4 linked regions of the Arabidopsis thaliana genome follow. The protein of the gene in region 4 interacts with the protein of the main gene of each other region in a pairwise test. Each region holds a gene or a part of one and is shown on either strand. Other genes may lie near its edges. The genes, in order: AT1G79220, GNC, BLH6 and AT2G33710.

Evidence for each region.
Region 1: the proteins of AT2G33710 (region 4) and AT1G79220 interact in a two-hybrid assay, tested with the Arabidopsis thaliana proteins (one large-scale study listed by BioGRID).
Region 2: the proteins of AT2G33710 (region 4) and GNC interact in a two-hybrid assay, tested with the Arabidopsis thaliana proteins (one large-scale study listed by BioGRID).
Region 3: the proteins of AT2G33710 (region 4) and BLH6 interact in a two-hybrid assay, tested with the Arabidopsis thaliana proteins (one large-scale study listed by BioGRID).

Annotation. Positions count from the first base shown.
Region 1 is NC_003070.9:29,796,437-29,802,214, forward strand, and holds AT1G79220 (Mitochondrial transcription termination factor family protein), read left to right. Parts: upstream 1-2,414; 5' UTR 2,415-2,790; coding exon 2,791-3,990; 3' UTR 3,991-4,135; downstream 4,136-5,778. Other genes in the region: AT1G79210 (N-terminal nucleophile aminohydrolases (Ntn hydrolases) superfamily protein), read right to left, coding at 1-48, 135-197, 274-359, 459-528, 758-825, 993-1,068, 1,266-1,312, 1,441-1,505 and 2 more; MST1 (mercaptopyruvate sulfurtransferase 1), read left to right, coding at 4,388-4,489, 4,853-5,038, 5,118-5,177, 5,321-5,383, 5,680-5,778.
Region 2 is NC_003076.8:22,988,639-22,995,276, forward strand, and holds GNC (GATA type zinc finger transcription factor family protein), read right to left. Parts: upstream 2,893-6,638; 5' UTR 2,714-2,892; coding exon 2,441-2,713; intron 2,164-2,440; coding exon 1,684-2,163; intron 1,436-1,683; coding exon 992-1,435; 3' UTR 578-991; downstream 1-577. UniProt on the Arabidopsis thaliana protein: Transcriptional regulator that specifically binds 5'-GATA-3' or 5'-GAT-3' motifs within gene promoters. Involved in the modulation of chloroplast development, growth and division in a cytokinin-dependent manner.
Region 3 is NC_003075.7:16,528,785-16,535,706, reverse strand, and holds BLH6 (BEL1-like homeodomain 6), read left to right. Parts: upstream 1-2,344; 5' UTR 2,345-2,921; exon of another isoform or gene 2,922-3,133; 5' UTR 3,134-3,208; coding exon 3,209-3,859; intron 3,860-4,050; coding exon 4,051-4,418; intron 4,419-4,494; coding exon 4,495-4,555; intron 4,556-4,642; coding exon 4,643-5,161; 3' UTR 5,162-5,361; downstream 5,362-6,922. Other genes in the region: SSR16 (small subunit ribosomal protein 16), read left to right, coding at 461-623; AT4G34600 (uncharacterized protein), read right to left, coding at 5,749-5,868, 6,021-6,067, 6,343-6,427.
Region 4 is NC_003071.7:14,257,000-14,263,118, forward strand, and holds AT2G33710 (Integrase-type DNA-binding superfamily protein), read right to left. Parts: upstream 3,741-6,119; 5' UTR 3,654-3,740; coding exon 3,473-3,653; intron 2,748-3,472; coding exon 2,308-2,747; coding exon of another isoform or gene 2,272-2,307; exon of another isoform or gene 2,041-2,271; coding exon 1,966-2,040; 3' UTR 1,810-1,965; downstream 1-1,809.

The sequences.
Region 1 (5,778 bases), on a different chromosome or scaffold from region 4:
CCGATTTTGCCAATCTCGATGTTTTTGCTTGAGATTTCTCCCTCGAAACTGTGAAAAGACACGGAGGTTATAGGCTTTTGAGAAATTCTGAACTCTGGAAATAAAGTAAATTAAGTTTTGGTAAAAATGCTCACCCTTCCTTCAATGTCAATATTGCCGTGTGAATGGCATCATCAAGTTCCATATCTTCTGTGTACCTGATCAAAGACTAAGATGAAATGACATGCTTCCAAGATCATAAACTCATCACCACAAATGGTAAATTATTATCACCTCTTCTCAAGAAACGTCTTTGCATTCGAAACATTCTTTCCCATTGCAGAAGCTTTCCATGAGAAATAAGAGCCAGATGGATCCACCTAGTGGCCAATGAAAATTATGAAATAAGATGTTTTCAGTTTACGGGTTTTACTTCACTTTGAGCAGGATGGTTATATTTTCTTTAAAGTTCTACTTACTTGATACAGTTGTGGACCCTTGTCATCATACCCAGCCACCAGTAGAGAAACTCCAAACGGCCTAACACCACTATTAACAGCAGAAGGAGACAGAGATTAGAAGCAAGATTCAGTAGTCTAGTTTGCAAATACAGATTTGCATTAACAACATTATCTCACGCCAAATCAATATCAAAACTGAGCTAAAAAGTGCATAGAGAGACTCGCTCTAGAGTTGCAATCTCTGAGCCAATAACACTTTTGAACCCTGTTGAGCATATGAGAGGAAGTAATTACATAACACTCGATATAGTACTTACCCCGATTGAGTGAACTCTTGCATCACCGTGGCAGTTTCCCTTACAAGTTGAGTAACGGGGATGGGTTCCTGCAACAATAAACGCCCTTAGAAGTTGAATCAACAGAGCGATCTGGATTTATGAATAAGCAAGAACTTATATCAACTGGAATCATCAATCCAAAGTTTTTATCATACATGTACTACTAGACACTCCAGGAAAAGAAGACAAAAAAACAGAAGATATTAAAGATTACCTTGTACAGACGGAGATATTGCTCAGCCTGCTTCCTACTCTTTCGCACAAGAACTCGGAAATCAGGACCCATACCACTACATAAAAGGCAATACCAAAGTTAGCACTGAAATCATTAGGGTACTAAGGGAAAGGTTCCATCAGTAGCACTAGCACCTGATGAGAGAGACTAAGTACCCAAAACAAAATAAAAAATGTATGATAAATCCAATTTGCAAGCTATAAAACCAAATTCGCTATTAAAAAAGAAGTATGGATAGCTGAAGAGAAGAACCTGTAAACAGTTCCAATGTTGGGAGTCAAATGTTGAATCTTTTGAACCTGAAACAGACAATAGATAAACATTAGTTTCGTAGGAGTTACTGAAACTATGCAACCGAAAGGAAAGTAACACGAGCAGGCACAGAATGAAAAAGAACTAATTGCTATAAAGAGTTGATCAAACTTACAGACGCTTCATCAACCAATATAGAAGGAAGTTTCTTTTCAGTTGCAATGACAACTCCATTTGAAGCTGCATAAAGAAAACAACAGTCATGATTACCAAAGACAATGTTCCTTAAAAATCTCCTCTCGAATTTGATTAGATCATTGAAAAAACCTTTAATTCCAAGTGATGTTTGGCCTGATCCAACAGCTGTTAGGGCATGTTCTATCTGAACCAGCTTCCCTGATGGGCTGTTTCATAAACCACAACATGAATCAAACCCCGAAGAAACCGTTCCAAATGCTCAGAAAGAGATAACATTGATATGATAAACAAAGTTAATACCTGAAGGTGGTGAGAGAAAACGAGTACTGACTGTCCCCCATTGAAAACCAACTAAATCAAGCTGCAAAAAATGCGAAATAGTGTCATCTCTGGAAATTTAGAAACGTGGAAGCTAAATCTGTTCTTCATCAACAATGTTCAAACTTAAATGAAAAGAAACCACGTCTGAGCAAGTAAGTAGACTGAAGCGTTCAAATCTGACAAAGCTTAAAAACCCGGAAGAGTCTCATCGCCATGGGCAATGTGTAAGGAAAACGATGAAAAAGACAAGATATACCAACCCTAATTAAGAATTGTGAGTGAATCAAATCAAACACAAACTCAAACTCAAAGATCAGCTCTTAGCTCAAACTCAGAGACGAAAATTGAAAACTTTTCTTAAACCCCAAATTCAATATATTTAAAGTTATCAATTTAAATTCAACAAAAGAAACCCATTCAATCAAAGCAACATACCTTTGATATATGGATCGAACGGAATGGTCGCAAGAGAAGAGAGAGAGAAGAGACCCAAGTGAAGAATTTTTAAGCTCTCAAGGTTTCTTGCACAAAGGGTGAGAGTCTGACGCCAGAAAACGAGAGAAACAAAAAAACCAAAACGGCGGCGTTTTAACAACTTCACAGTTACTGTATCTTACATAATAGTCCAATATTTTATATCTCTTTTCAGTTTGAACCACATTATTTATTTACTACCCCTAGTCCCCTACTCTCTCTCGCTTCCACGCCCGACTCGGACTCAAACCTGGTCCGAATTGGCTGTGTCTCTCTCCATCGCCTCCTTCTTCTCTGACAAACTCTCCTCCGTTGGTCGGAGTTTGTTTCTTCGCTCGTTCATCACAAGCTTCGTGTACTGGTAATTGTTCCATTTTTTCTAGCTATTTCGGAAAATTGGATGGAAGAAGCATCTGAAATACGCGTGTAAATGTCGCTGATTGTGTCGTTGAGGCAGAGCCATTGTTGATTCTTAGAGAAAATTTGCTCCTTTATTTCTCCAGTTTGTTAAACTCTCGATTACGCCCTTGAAATGCATTCGACCGGGAAGAGAAATTTCTTAGCTGTTATCAGATTATTGTTTACTAGTTCGAGCTTGGTCAGAAAGGCTGGTTGTAGAAATCTCATTTCTGCTACCTTTACCACCAGGTGTTCGACGTTATGCCTGAATGAATCTGAAGAATGCATTGAGGATTCTGATCTATCGTCTAGGAGAAAAAAATTTGATTATGTTGGAGAAGTTGGTGAAAAAGAGAAAGTGAGAGATATTACTAGTAGTCCTTTACAAGTTTTACGAAGATGGGGTTGTGATGATGATGAAATATCCAAGCTTTTTACTCGTAGGCCTGCTTTGCAGAGAGCCAATGTTGCTCAGTTAGAGTTTAAGTTAAGCCTTCTTAAGCCACTGGGAATCACGTCTTCAGACCTTGTGAAGATTCTTAACTGTCGTCCTAGGTTCTTTAGTTGCCGTCTTGTCCTTGATGAAAGGATCAACTACTTCATGGAGATTTTGGGGTCAAAAGAGGTGTTGCGCAGAGTCATTATCCGGAATCCGTCACTCATGTTGTATGACCTCGATGACAAGATCAAACCCGCGATAGAATACTACAAAGGGTTGGGCTTTAGCCAACAGGATCTTGTCGCAATGTTGATATCGCGACCCACGTTGATTCCAAGAACAAACTTTAACAATGAGAAGTTTGAATACATTGAGAAAACTGGAGTCACCAGAGAATCCAAGATGTTTAAATATGTTGCAGTCATCATCGGGGTCTCGAGGATGGAGACAATCGAAGAGAAAGTTAGAAACTTGGAAAAGTTTGGGTTCTCGGAAGAAGAGATTTGGCACCTGTATGGAAAATGCCCAATCCTTCTCTCTCTCTCTGTTGAGAAAGTTCAGAGAAACATGACTTTCGTCATAGCCTCGATGAAACTTCCAGCTCATTCCGTGGTTAAGCACCCTTGTTTGCTTCTCCTCAACCTCGAGTCTCGTCTAAAACCTCGTGCGGATCTCGTTAAGAGAGTCTTGGAAATGCGTCTAAAGCCATTGATAAAAGAAGTGAGCATTTTCAGAGCGGTAAGGATGAGCGAGAAACGGTTCTTGAAGGTTTATGTAATGTGTCATCCACAAGATATTGCAACCGAGCTGATGGAGTTTTACGAGAAATCCAAAAACATGAAACGTTTAGCTGAGAAATCCAAGAAATACATCCGTAAAGGATTCCCCTTTTGAATCTCTTTTTCATCTTTTGTTTCTTTGGATATGTTCATTAAAGATGTAACATTGTGTAGAATTTTCCAGCTTTATCAATGGATACTTTTGAATCGGTTCATGTTTTGGTTTAGATCAGATTAGTTAAACCGGAATAGAAAAATATCAAAACACAAAACGCGAAGAAGCACGTTTGGTGAAACGAAACGCCAAAGACGCCCTAGACGTGTCTCTCTTCCAGACCCGTTCGTGGCGGCAGTGACAAAATCCTCTTTATTGATAAAAACGTTTGCAAAGTTGCAACCTTTTTGGGTTTAGTACTTGAAGAGAATCAATCTGACAGCAAATAGTTTTGGCGTCTTTCTAACTCAACCCATCATCTCTGTTGCATTTTATCGAGAGAATATTTGAGGTGGATATGGCCTCGACCCTTTTCTCCAGAACTTTCTTGGCTGCTAGTCACCGACTGATTACTCCTTCTCTTCCGCAAAAGATCTTTAATCCAGCCACCTTTCTCAGTGTAAGTCGATATCTGATTCGCGATCTGTTCTCAATTAGCCATTCGTTTGACCACTCGTTAGCTTCTGGGTTTGAGAGTGTCTGGATTGATTTCGAGCGTTTGGATTGTTTCTATGATTTGACAGTGGTTCTACTGGGTTTTCGAGCTTTTGAAATGTTGAATAGACTATAGAGAATTGCTTAATTGTTGATGAGGTCTATGTCAATCGATGCTTTTCTTATCAAAGTTTGAAATTGGACTTATGAGTTTTGTAATCATAAATTAGGTAGTGAAGTTTTATGTGAATTGCTCAGTTTCGCCTCTCTGTATATGATTCTGACTTTTTGGTTGGTCTTCCTCTTCTTGTGTTGGTAATTGCTGAAGAGGTCACTCCACTCTCAGTTAGGCTCCGCTTCTACAGCCTATAAATCAACTACTTGGGCTCGTCGAGCTATGGCTTCTACTGGAGTTGAGACAAAAGCCGGTTACTCCACATCATCCGTATCAACCAGTGAACCTGTTGTTTCTGTTGATTGGCTTCATGCTAATCTTAGAGAGCCTGATTTGAAGGTGACTGCCCTTTCTCCTAGTTCACTTCTTGGAGAATATGTCTGCCAAACTTAAACTTACCTGTTTGTATGCTGTTCAGATTTTGGATGCTTCATGGTATATGCCGGATGAGCAGAGAAATCCGATCCAAGAATATCAGGTGAGAGTATGAACAGATAGAATTTTGAGAACTTCTTTGTTTTCACAATTGTTCAGGTTGTATTCATTCTGGATGAGCGAAACCACACTTAGTACACTATTTGATGATACTGTCGGACATAAACTGTGTCCTCTCCTATATAGGTTGCTCATATTCCCCGCGCTCTCTTCTTTGATTTGGATGGAATATCAGATCGAAAAACTAGTGTAAGTATCGCCATCTTTTCTTTTACAGAAGATGTACCCCTGCAGTTTACTTTGAAGTTTTCACTTCACATTGATATCGCTTTTATGCATAAATGAAACCTTATCGATAGATATTATCTTCTTTTGCTGCCATTTTTAAGATAGTATGTAGCTTTTTCTTATGTGAGATAAAGTAATAAGTCTGGACTCTTTAATGTTAGTATATGTTATTATGTGTTTTCATTAAGACATCTCTTTGCCCCGATCTTAAGGGAATCATCTAAAGTATTGTATGATATATTAACTACTTGTAACAGTTGCCACATATGTTGCCCACTGAGGAAGCTTTTGCTGCTGGTTGTTCTGCTCTTGGAATTGATAACAAAGATGAAGTGGTTGTCTATGATGGAAAGGGG
Region 2 (6,638 bases), on a different chromosome or scaffold from region 4:
ATTCATAAGGATCTTAATATTAAAATAGTGTATAGTGAAAAAATAATTATATTTCACATTTTACATTTTTGATATATTTATGATTGGTGTGCTGTACTAGCTACTCATGACCCTAAGTAATAATGTAGCAGCGAAAGAAAAAAGTATTTTTTGATGTGTTGATTCAGACTTAGGTCAACCTATATGTGTTTTTTTTAAGTTTGAAATAAAATTAATTAGATCATTTTTTTTGGATAAAGGGCTTATATTAGTTAGATAATCTAATGAAAAAACTAGAAGAAAATATGTGGGCTTGCAAATATGTCGTCGTCTTAAAATGCAACACAAACGTATTATCTTCTTCACACATGATCTCTTGTCTTATATACGCATTCATATTATCCCATATCAACCATCTTTACCCTCATCTTTATATTTTGTGTTCAGTATATTCTCACAAGCAATTAAATCCAAAATAGTCAATTTAAAGCATTTCTAAGAAAAATTACACTACTATTATGAGCTTCAAAAATATATTTAAATTTTGAATGATACCAAATACTAGACGTACAATTTTAAAGCTGGTAATCCATTTATGATTGAGCTAAATTGTGATGATATGTATATTGTATAAAGATAAACACATAAATAAAAGTACCCTTAATTGATTATATTATTTCTCCAACCTCGTTACACAATACAGTACTATAAAACTTGTAAATGAACAAGAATTACCCACATTATCGGGTGACTAATGTTCGTTCCATCGGAAAACAAAAACACAACAAACTCAAAACCAAAATCTCCATAAACATATATAGAGCTATTAATTATCATATTAAACTCTCACACACTCTTATTATAAAATGTTTTGACTCCTGATATTAGACCAACTGCAAAAACTAAACTAATCACTCCAAGATTTAACAATCAATCATTATTATGATTACTATAATCTATATATTACTATTAAAATAAACCTTTTTGTAATGAGGATATTGTGATGATCTGATCAACCGTGAACCATTCCATACGACAGAGCCATGAGCAAAACAGCAGCCTCCTTCTCATCTTGTGGGAACACTTGTTGATAAGCTGAGCTTTTGCTCAACATTATTGTCAAATCATCGAAGCAAAATTTGTTTGACGAAATCGAAGAATTAGAAGAAGTTGTAGATTTGCTGATCTCTGAATCTCCGGCAACCGTTTCCGCTTCCATTTCCTTCTCCTCTTCCTCTTTGATCTTGCACTTTTTGGCCTTGGCCACCATTGGAGGAGAGTGATTGTATTTTTCCCCTCCGTTTGATCTCTTTTTTTTATTTTGCAACTTCTTTTTCAGCGGTAATTGTTGCACTCGGGGCGCTACCGCCACCTCTTGGTCGCCGGCTGCAGCGGCCGCGGCCATAGCGGCTCGCCTTGCCTTTCTTTGCCGTATACCACATGCGTTACAAAGAGACTGCAATGATAAATGAAAATTAGTATGCGAACTGTAGATGACAAAAAAAAAATCATAGAATGTTGGACTTATGAGTATCATTGATTAAAGTATTAATGTTTAAAGGATGTATCAGGTTTAAATAAATTAAATATCTACATTCTTGAAATATAACTATTAATTTTAAAAATGTGAACTAAACTAGGTAGATATAGATAGTATGACATATATCAAGACAATTTCGATTGAAGTAAGTGTGATTAATCTACCTTGGGACCTCGAGGTCCACTTCGCCAAAGAGGAGTCTTGGTGGTGTTACAATCCGAACAAACCCTAATCACGCCATTGTTATTACTATAACCGTTCTCGTTGATTGTATTGTAGCGATTCTCGGTGGTCGCGGCCGTGGTCTTCCTGGTCAAGACGTTCTTGAAATTAAGATCTTCATGGTGATCCTCGTCGAAATTAGTCTTATGATTCAAAGGGTAGTGATCACTTTCTTTATGATTATTATTATTAGTCTGATCAATGAGCTGTTTATTGTTGGTGATTGTTTTCTTGATCAACCGCATCTTTGGGGACATCAACCACTTGTCGGAGTCTGAATCGGGTTTTGTCGGGTTTTGATGAAGAGGATGGGGTTGGTCTTCGTGATCTTTTTTCCTTATCGTTAGTTTCAGTCTTGTCTCCTTCTTTGGCACCATGTGATCGCATGCTGATGATCCACCGTTAGCCACAAACATCTTGGCCTGGTATATATATATCACCGATCAAGGTTTATAATCAACAACAGATGGAATTGTACATAATAATATAATGATATGGCTTCTTAAGATCCCTCCTTTTTATTTGATAAATTAAATTTCGTCTATATAGAATTCTCGACATACAAATTCAGAAACTAATATTATTGTATGAATTTTACATGATCAGGCATGATTTTAACTGCTAAACTAAAAAGAACGATCGTACAAGAATAACATTTATACACACACACTTAAGGTTGATATGTAATTGTAAATTTACCTTGAGGGGTTGAGAAAGATGGAGATGATCAGCGTGATAAGTGTTGTTGTAGGCAACATGTTGATCTTCTTGAGAGTTGATCAAGAAAGGGAGGTAAGAGGAGAGCGATGAAATGGACGAAGAAGAAGATGAAGAATTAGAAGGGACTTGATGATGATGATGATGATGATGATGATGAAGCGAGGAAGAGGATCCAAGAGGATAGAAAAAGGGTTGTTCGTGATGGTTTTGATCTTCGTTAAGATCTATCGAGTAATGAAAATTTGAATCCATTGATGAGATAAACAAATGAAGACACAAAGAGAGAGAGAAAGAAAGCTAAGATGAGAGATTGAGAGAGATCATAGACGGCAAAAAGAGTCCAAGCTATACTATGTTTGATCCTTTTTAAAGGCAATGAGATGAGACACGAGCCAAACACACATGGTCTCTATTATATTCATATATAAAATATATCAGTTTAATAAATGGTTTACGTGAGTCTAGAGTTAGGGTACTTATGTCTCTGTATACATCAACTTGTACAGTGAATTTTAGAAGACATGGATAAAATACTGTTTTAAAATCCTACTTTCGGACAAGTCCGGATGTCATACCAATGATTTTAATTTTTTTAATGTCCTTTTTATATGTTTTTTTCTAATTTAGAAAAAAAAGCTCTAAACTTCTAGTTTTCTCAAATGACCATAAAGTATTATGAGATTCGAATCCATAATTTTATTTGCATATGCTATAACGGACATGCGATCCAGTAATCCTTGATGAGCTAGTAAAGAAAGCTTGTTGTTTTTTTCTTGGATTGATTTAAGAAAATGGATACAAATAAATAACTGAAATGATCAGTAATAGTAAATGGTCAATATTTACATTAAGAAAGTTGAAAATATATGTATATGTATATATATAATTAATTAATTTAGAGGTTCACGTGAGTCCATGGCACCCATACAAACCAAACACATGAGACAAACTGTGTGTATGTGGAATGGTACTGGACGGCCCCATTCAAAACAAACCCTATCTGTAATTTCCTTACCCCACTAGAGAGACACAGAAAATTAAAAATAAAACCCTAATTTATATAAATATTGGAGAGTGAGAGCCACACAAATCATGATAATAATTGAAACAAATAAGATCCTTTTACTTGTTGTCTTTTCAAATCTAGGGTTTCCTAGATCTCATCAAGGCTCTATTATAGAAAAAGAAAAAAAAAAAAGTCAAAATTTGGATTTCTCATGTTCTTTTCATATGTATATATACCGTTAAACTAAAAATCTACTGTATTCATGAAGAATCACTAAAAAGGTTAGATTTTCAGCTCTATGAATTTTTACTAGATTTTATTAAATCGTATCAGTCAAAACAAATTTAGAATAAATATTGATTGATAAATTTTAGAAAGTATATTACATTCTCTTATTTTCTCAACCAAAAAAAAACAAACTTCTCTTATTTAAAATGAATATCTAACTAGCGTCTGTAAATATGTCTATTGACAAATAAAAAATTAAAAAAAAAAAATGAGAAACAAAAAAGAGTCAATTAGCATTACGTGAAAAAACGTCAAAAATAAATAAATAAATAGAAATGACAAATAGTTAGTGTTTATCTTTCAGATAAGTCAGTGGATCTTCTTAAAATTCCCCTACGAGTAGTGTTAGTTAGTACCTAAAATTATAGACTTTGTTGTGATAAGCCATCAATCATATAACATGGATTGTTAAAAGTTCAAATAAGTCCAACACTGATTCGTTGGTTTATTTCCTGATAATCAAAGTTTACTCAATTGGCATAACAAATTCAAGATCTCTTGAAAACGTAGTATATATGCTATATGTAACTCGTGATCCTTTCAACTGCATGTGATCCATCAATAATCCTCCCAGAGGATAGAGAACGAAATGATCCATGATTGAGAGATAGGAAGCGAGGCAGAGGGAGAAGAGATCAGAGATCTAGAGAGAGGAGATGAATAGAGAGAAGAGATAGGTTTAGAATGGTAAAGGAAGAAAACATCCCACCTTAGTATTGCCAAACTTATTCAATTCCTTCTCATCAGATTATACAGATCATTGAGGACCCCCACACACAAAGAGACAATCCATCTTTATTTTTCAAAATTTAAAATTGGCCCATCAATTTGTAACAATTCTTAAGCTAACTAAATGATCTAAGGAAAAAATAATAATTGATATTAATTTTCTGCTATATTTAGTAGCTTTTTATATGGGATCAGATTATGATCTATATATAACTCCCAATTTTCTAACACATACTATAGGATTTGGTCAATGCATCTTATGATATCACTATTGTTAGAAACGTTTTTTCAATATCACAGTGTACAAAGTCGAATAAGATGTTATGCACTGAGAGAAATGATTTACGCTTTATAGATTATCTACTCCCTCGATCGAACTGAAAGAGACCATATATATAGACGATAGAAACTTCATAGACAACAAAGATAACAATTGGTTTGTGACCAAAACATATGTGTTTTCCATTAGTTACACCTTGTTTAAACTACAACAATCCAAAACAAGCAAAACATTGTATATTAGTGTGCACAAAAGAGCACAATAATGAAAATTGTATGGATGTGAGGATAAATCTCTTCTTTTTTTGATAAACGAGGATAAATCTCATATGTCTCATGTATATTAAGGGCCAAAAAAATCTACACAGACGGGATAAAATCAAATGAAGAAAAGTGATTGTTGAAATTTGAGTTTCCCTTTACTGTACTATCACATGCCAAAAAAGTCATTTGTTTTCTTTTGAGTAATAATAAAATTAGTAAATAATATTACTATTGGTGTCGGGATAAAAATGAAATATTACTATTGGTTACTTTAACGGTAAGTATCTAGATGGGGAAAAAAAAAACTGTACACAAATGAATTGTACTCTTCATTTTTTACATGACTTTGCAGTTGCATCACTTCTCAATCTTGGGTTTGCTTTTCAGGCTCAAAAAAGTTTTTGCCAACTTTTTCATTTCTTACCAAATCGGGTCAGTCCATTAATCAAAACACGTTATAGGAATTTTAACGCATAAAACAAAAAACAAAAACAAAAAACCAGAAGAAAACATGGAAATTGATGATCACGAATGTATATGCAATCTGTTACCGTTAATGCATTAAAACGTAATGAAAAAACATGGAAATTATTTAACAGTACGTGACGTCAATAATAGTACTGTATTACTTTTGAAAAGGTTTAAATGTCTTTAACAAAAAAAAGAAAGGGTTTCAAAGTAAAGTAGCACTATAAAATTTAATCCCATTCTACGATTATCGTTGTCTTAATTATCATTAGCTCTATTACCATTATCATTAAAGGTTGAAAAAAGAAAAGAAAAGAGAACACTGCAAATCAGAGGTAGTTTGACCACTGTTCTTTCTCGTCGATTATATTATAATATTTGACTAAGCTTTCTTTTGTTCTGTGTTCTTGAAAAGCGAGCTGAGCAGAGCCGTTGGATCATGGAAACGGAGATCGATGAGCGAAGAGATAGATAAATAGAGGGAAGAGAGAGATTGGTAGGCTAGCTCTCTGAGCTCTTAAGGGTTTTGTTCTTTCAGGTTCTCAAAAAAGACAGCATGCGATCTATCAATCTCCTTCAATGTTTTAACACATGTACCTCTTTTGAATTATCATCAAAACCGAGTCTAATTTTAAATATTTTCAGTCTCTCTCATATGTAAAATGCAGTGAGCCATCACATGTGCATAGTCATGCGTCTTCAACTATACGTTATATAAGCCAGAAAAAAAAATTCAATATTACATCTTGTTCTTATATAAAACCAAAGGATCACAAGAATCTTATATTAATTTCCAAAATTTCAAGCCTGAATTTCAAAGTCGTGAACGTTAAGATGTCTCTAACAAAATTACATCAATCCTAAACCTATATTATTATGACCACTAAAATATCATGCATCACTTAAATAGTTTAACTAGAAATGATCTAAATTGTCTTAGATACTTATATTCTTTTGTCAGGAAGTTAGTTGTTTCTTCCATATATGAGAAGGAATATAAGGTAATAATGGATATGATTATTATTTGTGTAAAACAGTCTTCAGTTATTCCATTATTAAATTTTTGGAGTTTGATCGACACAGATCTGTAGAAAGTTCTTCCTTAAAACTAACAAAAATTTGCAGCACAAAGTTAAACATTAA
Region 3 (6,922 bases), on a different chromosome or scaffold from region 4:
ACTGAAACACTAAAGAGTCTCTTTCTCGACATTATCCATATGATTGATTATTCCTCATGAATGTGTTTTCTTGTTTGTCTTTTAATCATCTTAATTCATTCTCTTTAGTATTCTGCAAGGTCATAAACTTGTTCTTGCCACAATGATGCTGCCTAATTGCTTAGATTGTGACAAATTGAGATGCTTTCTGTTGATTCTGTGTCCAAAACTCTATTTGCATAAGGCTACAATCCTTAATTCATTTGCTTCTCTCAGTCATGTTTGGTTGTTTCTACACCTAATGCATTTCATCTGGTGCAAGTTTTCTGTGAGGCTTGGTTTTGCTTGTATGATTGATTTGATTAGACTGGTTTAAAAGTCTAAATCCACACAGTTCTTGGTGTCTAACTAAACTTCTTTTTTATTTTGTGCAACTGTTGAAAGAAATTGATTTTCACTCTATGGTACTCGAATAATGCAGGTACTGGTTATCTGTTGGAGCTCAACCAACAGACACAGTGGAAAGCATGCTTTTCAGGGCCGGTTTGATACCACCAAAGCCTATGGTAGTGGTCGGTTCGAAAAATGGGCAGAAGTCTACGAGCCAACATGTTTCACCCATTACAGGTGAAATCTTGAACTAAGAGTGTTGATGCGTTGAGCAAGAAAGAGCCTTTTGTGTCTGTGTGAAAGGAGTTTATGTAATGTTGTTTAAGACTTTTCTGTTTATGTGAAAGGAGTTAATGTAATGTTGTTTAAGACTTTTGCTTTCTATGTGAAAGCAGTTTAATGTTATGTTGGTTAAGACTTTTCTGCAACAGAGTTTGGTGAATTTTTATTCTTTAATATGAGCATGCCTTTTTACATTTAACAATTCTCACTTTAGACTAAATAGGCTTTGGTAAGAGGCCCATATTTTCAAAAATAAGATTCATTCTCAATATCTGGATTGTATGCTAAAAAAAGGAATTAGGCCCATATTTGCTCAAAAAAAAAAAAAAAAAAAGTTATCTGCCTGAATATGATCTTGGACATTAGAACCTCGTTCTTACCTTTTATGTATATCTTTACTTCTACATGGTAGTAGTTATATAATCTCGTTGATCTTGAAATTAGTTCTTATTCTCATATAGGTCTGAAACTCTTATATTGCTTCTCTTCAAAATTTTGTTCCGTCTTTTTGGTTTCAATATCTGCCAAAATGTATTTGTATCGTCTATATGTGTTAAAAACACATGCAAGAGACTAGTAACTAGACAATAATCTATTTCAAACTAAATTGGTCTTCTAATAAAAATGTTATAGTTATGGAAAAAAGGATGTGTCTTTGGGACATTACAGCTCTATTGGGCCAACAAAATCTCTCGCTTCGTATCCCATTAGATTCTCTCTTTCTCTCTCTCTCTCTCTCTTCCTTCAGAGATGTTCATTGTTCGTATTATTACGGCATCTCTGGCTCTGACCCTCTCGCTGCAACATCTGTCCCTATTCAGACAGCTATACCTCTATTTTCATTCTACACCTAATACTTTATATTTCTTCAAAAATCCACCCTGATCAACTTCCTATCACTATCTAAGTCATTCTCATTATCTTTGTGTTGTTGCTCTCAAGTCTCGCCCATGGAACTAACGATTCTCTCAGCCTCTAATCAGTATTGGACCCTAGTCTTAAAGATTATAGTAGTTACCAAGTTAGGACTTAGGACTTAGGATATAGACTTCTGTCAAACAAGAAAGTGAATGCTAAGTTTAGAAGCATTTGAAAGAAAAAGTACTAATCCATAAATATCTACAAGTTGTTTCCAGGAAAAGACAAAACTCAGTGGGGAAAACGAGCACTTATGGTGTTTACAAAATGAAAATAAAAAAGAAGAAAAAGTTGTGTTTGTTATTTTTTGGGACCCTTATTTCTTTAATAGTTGCATAGCCTCTGGACGACCAGAGTCCACGAATGTATAATCAGATACCAAAAAAGTATGAAAGAAATATATAAAGAAAAGGAAGAAGAAACAATCATGGCTTGGCTTACTTAAAAAGTAAAGTAGCTAATACTCTTAATCAAAACTCACATAATAAACATTAGTTATGTGTTTATAATGATAAGTTAATGACCTATTCATCAGAAAAACAAGTTGTGATATATATACTTAATCAAAATTCACCACGATCTACTAATCTGCTAAATTTTTATTGTTTACTTGCAAAATAAACTATATAACTCAACACTTCCGAATTTAAATTTAAATTTAAGATGACTTTATGTCAAGAAGCTAGTAGCATCTTTGATTCTTTGTACTTTTCAACTTAAGTAAAGAAAATAGAAATGTGATTATATGGAGGATATTGATTTAATCAATGTGTAATTAAGAGACAGAGAGTGATAAGGATTGGGATTAAGATTAGGTTTAGGATTGGGAGAAAGATGAAGAGAGAGGGGTTTAGGTCGACCAACTGGTTGTTAAAGATAGAAACTCCTTAACCATACATTTATATAACATTTTCACAATAATTTTCTTCTCTTTACCAAAGACTTGACTCCAGGAATCAATAAGCAAGAAGCAGGAGGTTCAAGCACCAACCAGATTATGGCTTTCTGAAGCAATATCTTCAGAAAACAAAATAAAGTTTTTATTTGATTTTCTTATTACCATATTATATACTATTAAATAAGAAATTCAAAGTTTTTTTTTTCCATTCTTTCTTTCTTCCGGAGGAGGGAGAGTATGATATGGGTCTTTCACGTGTGACATTGATGAGATGATGAATTCAAATTATATCTCATACCAAAAAAAAAACACAACCAAGAGAAAGAGGCGTAACCTTCTGATTTCTTTCTTTTAAGATATCAATAAAATCTTTCACATTTTCTAATTTTTAATTCTTTTCAAGATTTTGTTGTCTCCTTCAACAATCCATCAGAAGTAGCAGTTTGGTTTCCAGGTAATTTACTAATCTTTTTATTTCTATACAATTCTTCTTTTTTTTTTGTTGTCTATGGATTTGGCTTGCATCTCCATAATTGCATGCATAACCATATATTCAAGACATGTTGAAATCTTACATGTTTCTTAGCAATACACTGATTATATGGATCCTGCTCTGTTTCAATTGTTTTTGAATCTGTCTTTAATGTCAAGCATTTCCTCCATAAGGTTAAGTTCTTACGACCTGATCAGAAAACAAGGGACTATGGAACTCAAGTGAGCCAAAAAGAACACTCCATTTCGATGGAGAATTATCCAGAAACACAGTTTATTCCCGGAGATTCAATGATCCAGAATGCTATAGTTTCTTACTCTGAGGAATCAGCCGGTAGAGAAAGAAGAACTGAAGCTAACAATGTCTCAGCCTCACAAGAGAGGCAAGCATTGTCCAGATTTGGGGGAGTTCCACAAATGCAGAACATTGGTCAAGATTTCGGTTCTTGGAGAGATCAAGCGAGTGACAGGAACGGTTTCCAGCTAATGAGCGCGATGGCAGGTGCCACGGGGATTCTTCAGACCGGTCAGGGACTGTCCCTTAGCCTTGGTTCACAGATTCTTCCAGGAATTCATCAGATAAGCCATCAAAATATGGCGCCGAGAGGCAATGAGTATGCAACACAGAGTTTTCCGGGCGGGAATCAGAACTTGGATGTTGTGAGAACAATTCCCAACTCAAAGTATCTTAAGGCGGCTCAACAGCTTCTAGATGAGGCTGTTAATGTAAAGAAAGCTCTAAAGCAGTTTCAGGCAGAGGGAGATAAAAACAATGAGAACCCTCAAGAACCGAATCAGAGCACTCAAGACTCGAGCACGAATCCTCCTGCGGACATCTCTCAGTCGGAGAGACAAGAAATGCAGAGCAAGTTGACAAAACTCTTGTCAATGTTGGATGAGGTAATAACTTGAGACCTAATCTTCTTAATTTGATCATGTGATGGTTACCTTTTATAGGCCTTTTGTTATAATATTTTAAATGCAAAAAAGCATACATTTAAATAAATTGCAGCCATAATGTTGTTACATTTGGTATATATAGGATATGTTGAATATTTAAGAAAATGAGATATTTCTTGATTTTGGTAAAGGTGGATAGAAGATATAAGCAATATTACCAGCAGATGCAGATAGTTGTATCCTCGTTCGATGTGATAGCTGGTTATGGAGCAGCTAAGCCATACACAGCACTCGCCCTTCAAACAATTTCTCGCCATTTTCGTAGCCTAAGGGATGCGATATCCGGACAAATCCTCGTGCTACGTAAATGCCTTGGGGAACAACAAGATGGATCAGATGGGAAAAGAGTTGGGATTATAAGCCGGCTTAAGTACGTTGATCAACATTTAAGACAACAAAGAGGTTTTATGCAACCTCAAGCTTGGAGACCTCAACGCGGTCTACCTGAAAACTCTGTTTTGATTCTCCGTGCTTGGCTCTTTGAGCATTTTCTTCACCCGTAAGTCTCCCTTGAATCTTATCTCCACACATTTTCTTCATAAATAGTGATGATTACTGTTTGAAAACATGAATAGTTACCCAAAGGATTCTGATAAGATCATGCTAGCAAGACAAACGGGCTTGAGCCGCGGTCAGGTAAGGAATGTTTTATTTGAAGATTGTTTCTTTCTCTTCATAGTATAGTTTATTTATTGATTGTTGTGTGTTTTATGTTTGTAAAAGGTTTCAAACTGGTTCATAAATGCACGAGTGCGTTTATGGAAGCCAATGGTGGAGGAGATATACAAGGAGGAATTCACAGAGAATGATTCCAACTCGTCTTCCGAAAATACACCGAAAATGTCTGAGATAGGACCTGTTGCTGCTGATGATGAAGATCGAGCTCGAGAGTTTTCACAAGACCAGACCAAACCGGACCATGGACATGGATATGGCGAGGAAACTCGTGGCATGGTCCAAGGCAGTCATATGGATGGTCGCCGGTTCATGGCAGTTGAGCCTACATATCATGTGGCTGATACGTCAAGATTGGGTCGTGGTGATGTGTCCTTGACTCTAGGGCTTCAAAACTCTCAAGGACAGGACAATGTTGTGGCTATGTCTAGTGAGGCATACAACAACTTTTCCGGGGTGGATATTTACGAGAATGCCATCCCGGGAGATGAAATGGAGTATGTAAACCCCGGAAGTCGCCAGAACCGGATAAATTCTTCACAATTGGTACATGATTTTGTAGCTTGAAGAAGTAAGCAATGGAGAGGAATAAAGCATAGGTGTGATGAACTTATGATCAGTCTCAATTCTGTAGTGGAAGAATGTTGGTCAGAAGAAAAAGTTTTAGAAATATTTGTATAAAGTAAACATTCTTTTGTACAAGAATATAAGTGAGGTTAGGTCATTGGGACCAAACAGAATATGGTAAATGCAATTTGAGATCTGCAAGAGATGGACATTACACTGTAGACTTATTATCTTATCACATCTACGAAACTGCAACGTTCCCAATTCTCTTCTCTTTTTTTTTGTCTGGCACATATACAATCTGTATCCGTTTTCAGAATTAATCGAATATTTCAATATTAATTTTGATCATAAGGATTCTATCAGATAAATTGTAATATTCATCTAATGATGACTATTCACCAAATTTACATTCTGCATGATAGCAAAGAGCACTATCTAATCATTAATTTACTAGAAAACATATCTTGAAACTTATATATATGATTATCATTCAAACTTATTGCAGTGTTAGTATTTAGGTTTACATATATTATACATCTCAGAAAGTCTGGCATCTATATATAGTCGATCGGTGATATGCATGATCAGTTGGGAATAAGCTTGAAAGGAGGTCTCACGAGCTTTGGTTTAGGACTGGAGTGGCCATAGTCTCTTGAATTCATTCTCAGAATTCTCTCATGCTCATGTATTCTTCTTTCTACTACCTGTCCACAAATAGAATGTATTCACCAACGTACAAAATTGTTCTTGAAATCATATAACTACGATCTTGATTATCAATTTGTTCGGTTTTTTACTAAGTAAAGATATACAACGCACGGTAGTTGGCAACTTTTTTTGGAGTTAAAACGAATACCTCGGGATGATCATCTTCTTGGCTATAGATTAAAATGGATGATCGGCCTACAAAAAAGAAAAAAAAAAGAGACTTAAGCTTGTCTATTCTTTATATCCAAGATTAATCAATCCAAATAACACTAACGTAACATACTATGTCGTTAATTTTCTCCTTTAGTCGTCATTAACACACATGTGGAGAGCACAAGCTCTTAATGTTATTATCTTACTTTCTAAAAGACTGATCTCAGTAGGAGGCACATGAAGTTGCAGAGAAAAGCTGCAAACAAAGGAATATAAATATGTAGATAGAGAGAGAGAAAAAAAAGTAAGAAACAAACCTGCAGAACAGAGAGCAAACGCTGAAGCTGAAACTAGAAGAAAGATGATGAAACCTAGTTTCTTCACCAATGGCAACAAACCCATCTTCTTTCTCCTTTCAATTTTTGATGTGCCTTAAGCTGTATCTTGTGTATTTAGATACACGTACCTTATCAAAAAAAAGAGAAGCCAATGCGTTTGGTATATCACTATATATAATCTCTAAAGAAATAACACGATTAAAAGTTAACTAATTTGTTTAGCCAACGTGAATGCTTTAAATAAAAAGCAACAATAAAAACCGGTTTAAATAGAGATTAGCTTGAGTTTCAAAATTAGATTGTATCAATTACAAATAAATAAAAATAGTAAAATACCATAACAACAATTGATTTATCCATCATTTAATTAATGCAAATATCTCTTAATGCTTTTAATTAAAAAAATTGTTCATGGAAATGGTGGGATTGGAGAAAAAGTTGAAAGGAGACTACTTTCCTATTGTTGGCCACAATAAGTCTAAAGAGGTTAGTGACCTGATTATTTAATATGAGTGCCTTCATTATCATAACCCAATTAAATTTACCAAATCATCATAAT
Region 4 (6,119 bases):
TTACAACATGTTTGTTTTCTTACTTAACGCCGCAAACACAATGATCAGAATCAAAACGGTTTATAGTGTTTTTTCCCTGCTGTGCACACATAAGTTTACAAGCAGAGAAAGACTGCTTTAATGTACAAACGCAACCGCCATATAGACAGGCAACAGGAATTGCACATGGTACTTTGTTTTTGCAATCTGAGTCTTTGTGACATCTTTTGCTTTCTGTCATCGTCATACCTTCAAATAGATTATCCAAAAGAAAACAATACTAGATAATAATTTTTAAAAAGTTGTAAGTGTTCAATTTGGATAAACCAAATGTATTTGAACCGCCTAGTTAAGCATAACAAACTGATATGAAAAACCGTACAATTTTTTTGTTAACATTAGTTTTATATATCCTAAAAACCAAAAATCGATTTATAATCCAATAAAAAAATATGGCTGCTTTGCCAATTCAATTGATTCTGATCTGAAACTAAAACCGCAATTTTTGTTTGTGTTGATTACTTGATTACTGTTTTTAAGAAATCTTTAAGCTCACAATAAAGAAACTAACAAATTGAAAATTCCTAGATAAATTAATTCATTTGAAAAAAATGAATCTAAAATTTTCATATTTTACACCACAGCAAATAGCACTTGATATTGAATCAACATTAAATAGTATTCGTTCTTTTACTTTTAAAAATCCATTAAAAATCAGGGTATCACCTATATGTTATAGTCATTAGAACATAAATATAAATTATATATGTGTGTGTTTCATTGTTATACATATTAACACACTGATATATGAGTAAATGAATTATAATATATTTGTATGAGTGAAGAACTCACAGAAGGGTGATACAAGGAACAAGATTAAAAGAAGCCTGTTTTCTTTGAGTTCATCTCTATATTTTTTCTTTCTTTTTTCTTTTTGTATTTTGTTTGTTGTGATTTGTGAGTTATGATGGTAATTTGTGTTCTAAATTGGGTTTAATATATTAGGATAGTTTTTATCCTCTTTTATGAGGTCAATACATACAAATGATTTTGGTATTAAAATGTTTAGATTTCATACCTATATTATTTATTATGATTAATTGAGAAACACTATATAAAACAATAGCAATTTATGATATCATATACTATTATTGTTTAATGAATCTATACGTAAATTATTATGTTTTGATGATACATAGCATTTAACATAAATAGTGTAGATTTGATAGTGTCCACATGTAATCATCTAAGAGGCATATTAGTTCTGATTTTAATTTTGTGATCGCGATTCTTTGTGGATTTGTCCATCAAATTACGTGATTTTTTTTTTTTTTTGCAAAAAACAGGTTAAATGGTTCTGATTACTCAATAAAACACACAAGATGTGAATTTGATTTTTAAAAACATAAAACATATTTTCACAGATAATAATTTTCATGAATAATTTTTCATAATGTTGAACCTTTTTCTCCATTCAGTTATTTAACTGGTGAAAGATACACTTATATGAAATAATCGCAAATTTGAATAGAACAAAAAAACTTTTACTACATGTTTTGTTTTATACACTAGCAGTCGATATGTGTATCCTATATAATAATTTATTTATAATAATTTTACTTGAATCGTTTTTTAATCGTTTCATATGCAGACTGTTACCTAGTTTAGTTTCATTTTTATTTACCAACCATTTCATCATTCAACGCGTTGAAAAATATATGAGCATTGGATAATAAGACAGATATAAATGTAAGTACATATTTAAAAAAATTTAGCTTATGTTTTGGAAACTCGAACACCCTCATCATGTGTATACCCTCTATATTTGTTTTTGAACTTTTTTTTTTATCTCTTTCGTACGTGATACAAAAGGATAAACTAGCAAGCTACTTCGGAGTGGAAAGACATAAAGCACCATGTACGAGCTTTTTTCTACCTGATATACTCGACCCAACCTGATCCGACCGGTCCGGTCAACACATTATCTCATTTGATCGGTCGATCAGGTGAGGCATGTTGTTGTCTCCGTCGGTCATCTTCTGTGGATATAGTCGTCATGACCTATCAGGACGTTTTCCAAGCTAAGTAGTCTTCATCCCATTCTTGCATAGTCATGTTCAAAATTTATATATTTTTCATCCATAAGGCCTGATTCCTAGCTAAATCCACTCCATAGACTCTTTAAAGACTACCAAAATGAAGTCGTAAAGAGATTAAGCGCCTAAAATGATCAAAGCCGGAGGTCAATGCGTTTGATAACTTGGACGAAGAGATATTTATGCCATTAACATGTTATTTTCGTCGTTTGTGGATACTAATGTTCTTCACGTTTTCACCATCCTCCAAATTTGGTCTTAGCCCTTGATGATTCAAAGATGAAGACGAAGAAGACAGCATATTCATGGACAAGTTGGCACTGGAATCACTACTTCGAGATTGAAAGTGGCCATATTGATCAAGAAGTATGTCAGGAGCAATTGGTGGAGGTGGACTAGGTGGTGTCACGATAATGCGATCATGGGAAGTAGCGGGCGATGGATAGAGTTGAGTAGGGTTGACACGAATATGCTCGGGGAAGTTAAGCTTGGCCTTGTGACCTCTAAACTCAAATGCAGCTTTATCATACGCTAAGGCGGCTTCTTCTGCAGTGTCGAACGTCCCAAGCCACACACGAGCTGCCTTGTTCGGGTCACGAATCTCAGCCGCCCATTTTCCCCACGGTCTTTGCCTCACGCCTCTGTAGTTTCGTTGCCTCGAGTTACTTTTTTCTGTAGAAAAATGATGAAAATTGTAAGTTCACTCTTGTCATGAAAATGGTGACTTAAATGTGACGTGCATGTCTATGAATATAACGTATACTATCGGTGTAGAGGCATTTCGTAAAGATTATTAAAGGGCGTTTGAATCATATGATATGATCATTCTACATCAACTTTTATTCCCCTCTTCTACATCTACTTATGAAATCTATATATTAGGCCAAACCTACATTTATACATTCCTCTCTCTCGTAATTGGTAATTAACTATATATATACTTATGTATCACACCAATGATATAATTAGGATATAAATTAAGTTTGATCATTTTAAATACGTTTTCCCCATGTTACAATCCTAAAACTCTCTCTGGCTAGTTATCTCAACCAAAATACGACCATTGCAACCAAGCCTTGCCAATCATATTTGTCCGAAAGCCAAATATGATCAATTTTGTCCAACCAATAAAGCCGACAGGTTTTTTCAAGAAAATCTAACCATGAACATTCATTAAAAAAATCATATAGTAAATTGAACTAATGCATTGTGGCCATACATGAAATTATATCTCTATTTGATCAAGGCCATGCTGCAGCCACTAAAGGATTACCAATTGCAAAATCCAAGATTAAATCATTCCTATGTGTAAAGAGAATCACCAATGGAAAAGACAATCACTCGAGTTATAAAGTATAGCAATTAAAATTATTGGAAAAAGGATCTGATGAAATTACCTTGAAGAGTAAGCGACGAAGATTGATCATCAATGGATGATGGGATGGGTTGACCAGTGAGTTCAGAGACAAAATCAGACACATCAGATTCCGACAAAGTTGAGCAACAACACAACTCTTTTTTCTCTTCTCTATTTCCGGCCATTGATTCTGGTGATAGAGGTCTCTTCCCGCTATGCATTATCCGATGATGTCAATTATGATTATTTTTATTTTATTTTTGAAGTCAAAGATGGGTTTGGGTACAAGCCAAAGAACCAGCAAAGATGTCTATTCTCTGCATCTATGTTATATATAGACGCACACGCATGTATTTGTTGACCAATATTATAGAGAGTTTGTCTAACCTAGAGGATATTTTGGTCATAAACATTACACACACTTTTTTGTTCCTTAAAAACAATTCTTTGTATTCATCTCTTTAATTTTCCTTAACAAACGTTACATTACGGACTGCATCGACCGACCCACTATGTAGTTGTATTAATGGTTTGTGTTAACCCAAAATCGATTGCGTGTCTCAAAAGACGAAAAAAAAAACGACTGTCTTATACAAAATTCATTAATTATGATCCAAGTCTTGTGTTAATTACGGTCAACATTTTAAGTTAAAATTAATTATTTATTATATATGTGGTGGATTTAAATAATTATTTTCATCCTGAACATTAAAGGGTTAATAATTTACCTAAATGACTCACCAAAAAATTAATTTACCTAAATGACCATGATGAATATCTAATTATTTAGGTAAATGAGCAAATGACAAACATATAATCAAAGAAACACTTTAATATATATAAACATGTAAACACCAATTATTTAGGTAAATAATGTATTTTCTATCATTTGACTTTAATGTCTTTATATATATATATATATATATATATATAGATACATATGTGTTTTGCACAATCATTTTATTTTAATAAACAACGTACTGTATAAATCACATAAATAAAATAGCATAATATTTTTGCTAATTAAAAGTCGCTTATGTCATCCAATACAGTTGAGTGTGTTTTTAAATTGTTTTATGTAATATATAAAAGTTCATGGTTAATTAGGATGAATATTCAAAATTAAAGGACAAACTCTGTTTCTATTCGCTACATATATAGTTTTACGGAATACACTCTGCACAAGTCATCATAAAACAACTGGAATGGAATATGCGATGAATCTCTTTAATAATAATATGTGGGATCTGACTGTGGATTCTAATCTAATATTTCTATTATAAGCAATTTGGACGATTCGTGCCATTTTAAAAATGGTTGAGGGATTTTTTTATGGGGTTGAATATTGTCATTGCGCCTTATCAGAAACACAAAAACAAAAAAAATATTGTCATTACATGCATGATGTTGATGAATTATTTTTCAATCATATAAACTTGTGGTTGAAGAAAAAGCACAATATTTAACAAACAAAAACATAACCTGAAACAATATAAACTTACTTTCTAAATTAATAAAACATTTGACCGAATGGGGAATCTAAAAGTGTGTCATATAAGATATTGATTTAAAGACCTAGATGACGTATGGGCTTACATAATATGTGGTCAACATTGAATATTATAGTCAGAGCAAACTTCGCACGAACAAATCAACTCCAATCTCACACCAATAGCATAAGACCATGCCGTAGTCTATATGATTGCCACAAAAGAATTATTCTTATTGGCCAACTTTGACCTAGTGTTATATTTGTATTTATATCTTTTAATTAAGTATTTATTGAATTATGTATATACATTGATTGTTGCATTCATCTTTTTTACTTAGTATGCCATCTATTCAATTAGATGAACACATTGTAATACTATAATAAATTACGTATGTTTAGTTACGATAGTGCTTTAATTTTGATCTAAACCACATGATCTAGTCAGAACGCTTTGATCGATATTTGTTTGTGTTTATTTTTTTTGTTGTTGCTAAATTGTAAATATCAGTAAGGAATGAAAGTTGGGGCGTACAAGAAGTTAGACCTATAAATATAATTGCTACTTTGCCAAAAAGGTATAAAAACAAGGGAACATATACAAGAGAATTTTATGAGATTCAATAAAAGAGCTTTAGTGGAGCCACACGGTTGCATCAGTCTTGAGAAGCTGCGCAAATGTCGTCTTGCTGAGATTGAGTTACGGAGTAACTTGTATATTGTTTTGGAGTAACTTGTGCTTGGGTTCAATTGGTTTACTAGTACTTTATGTAGCAAGTTATAGAACAGTTCATATCTGTATATACAGTTTGTGAGGGTGGCATTTCCACAGTCTCTATTGGTATTGTATGTTTATGAGACAATTCATGTTACGTATATGAATTGTTACAAAACTTTATGTTGTGACCAGCTACAAAATTAGTTACCAAGTCAATATCCATGGCCACGACAACACAATAGCGGCCACTATACTAGTGAACAAATCATCGGTAGCTATACTTCTTGGAAATGGTAATGAATACTACAAAAATAACCCCACAATATTCTTAAGTTTTTTGTGTGGCTACACGCCTACACTAGCTTAGTCATGGATAAAGTCGTTTACATATGTGATATGTCCGCCTAACCAATGAGGATTCTGATTTCTGAATCGGGCAGATTTGTCCGGAACACGATCTATGCTCATGTAGGTCCTCAT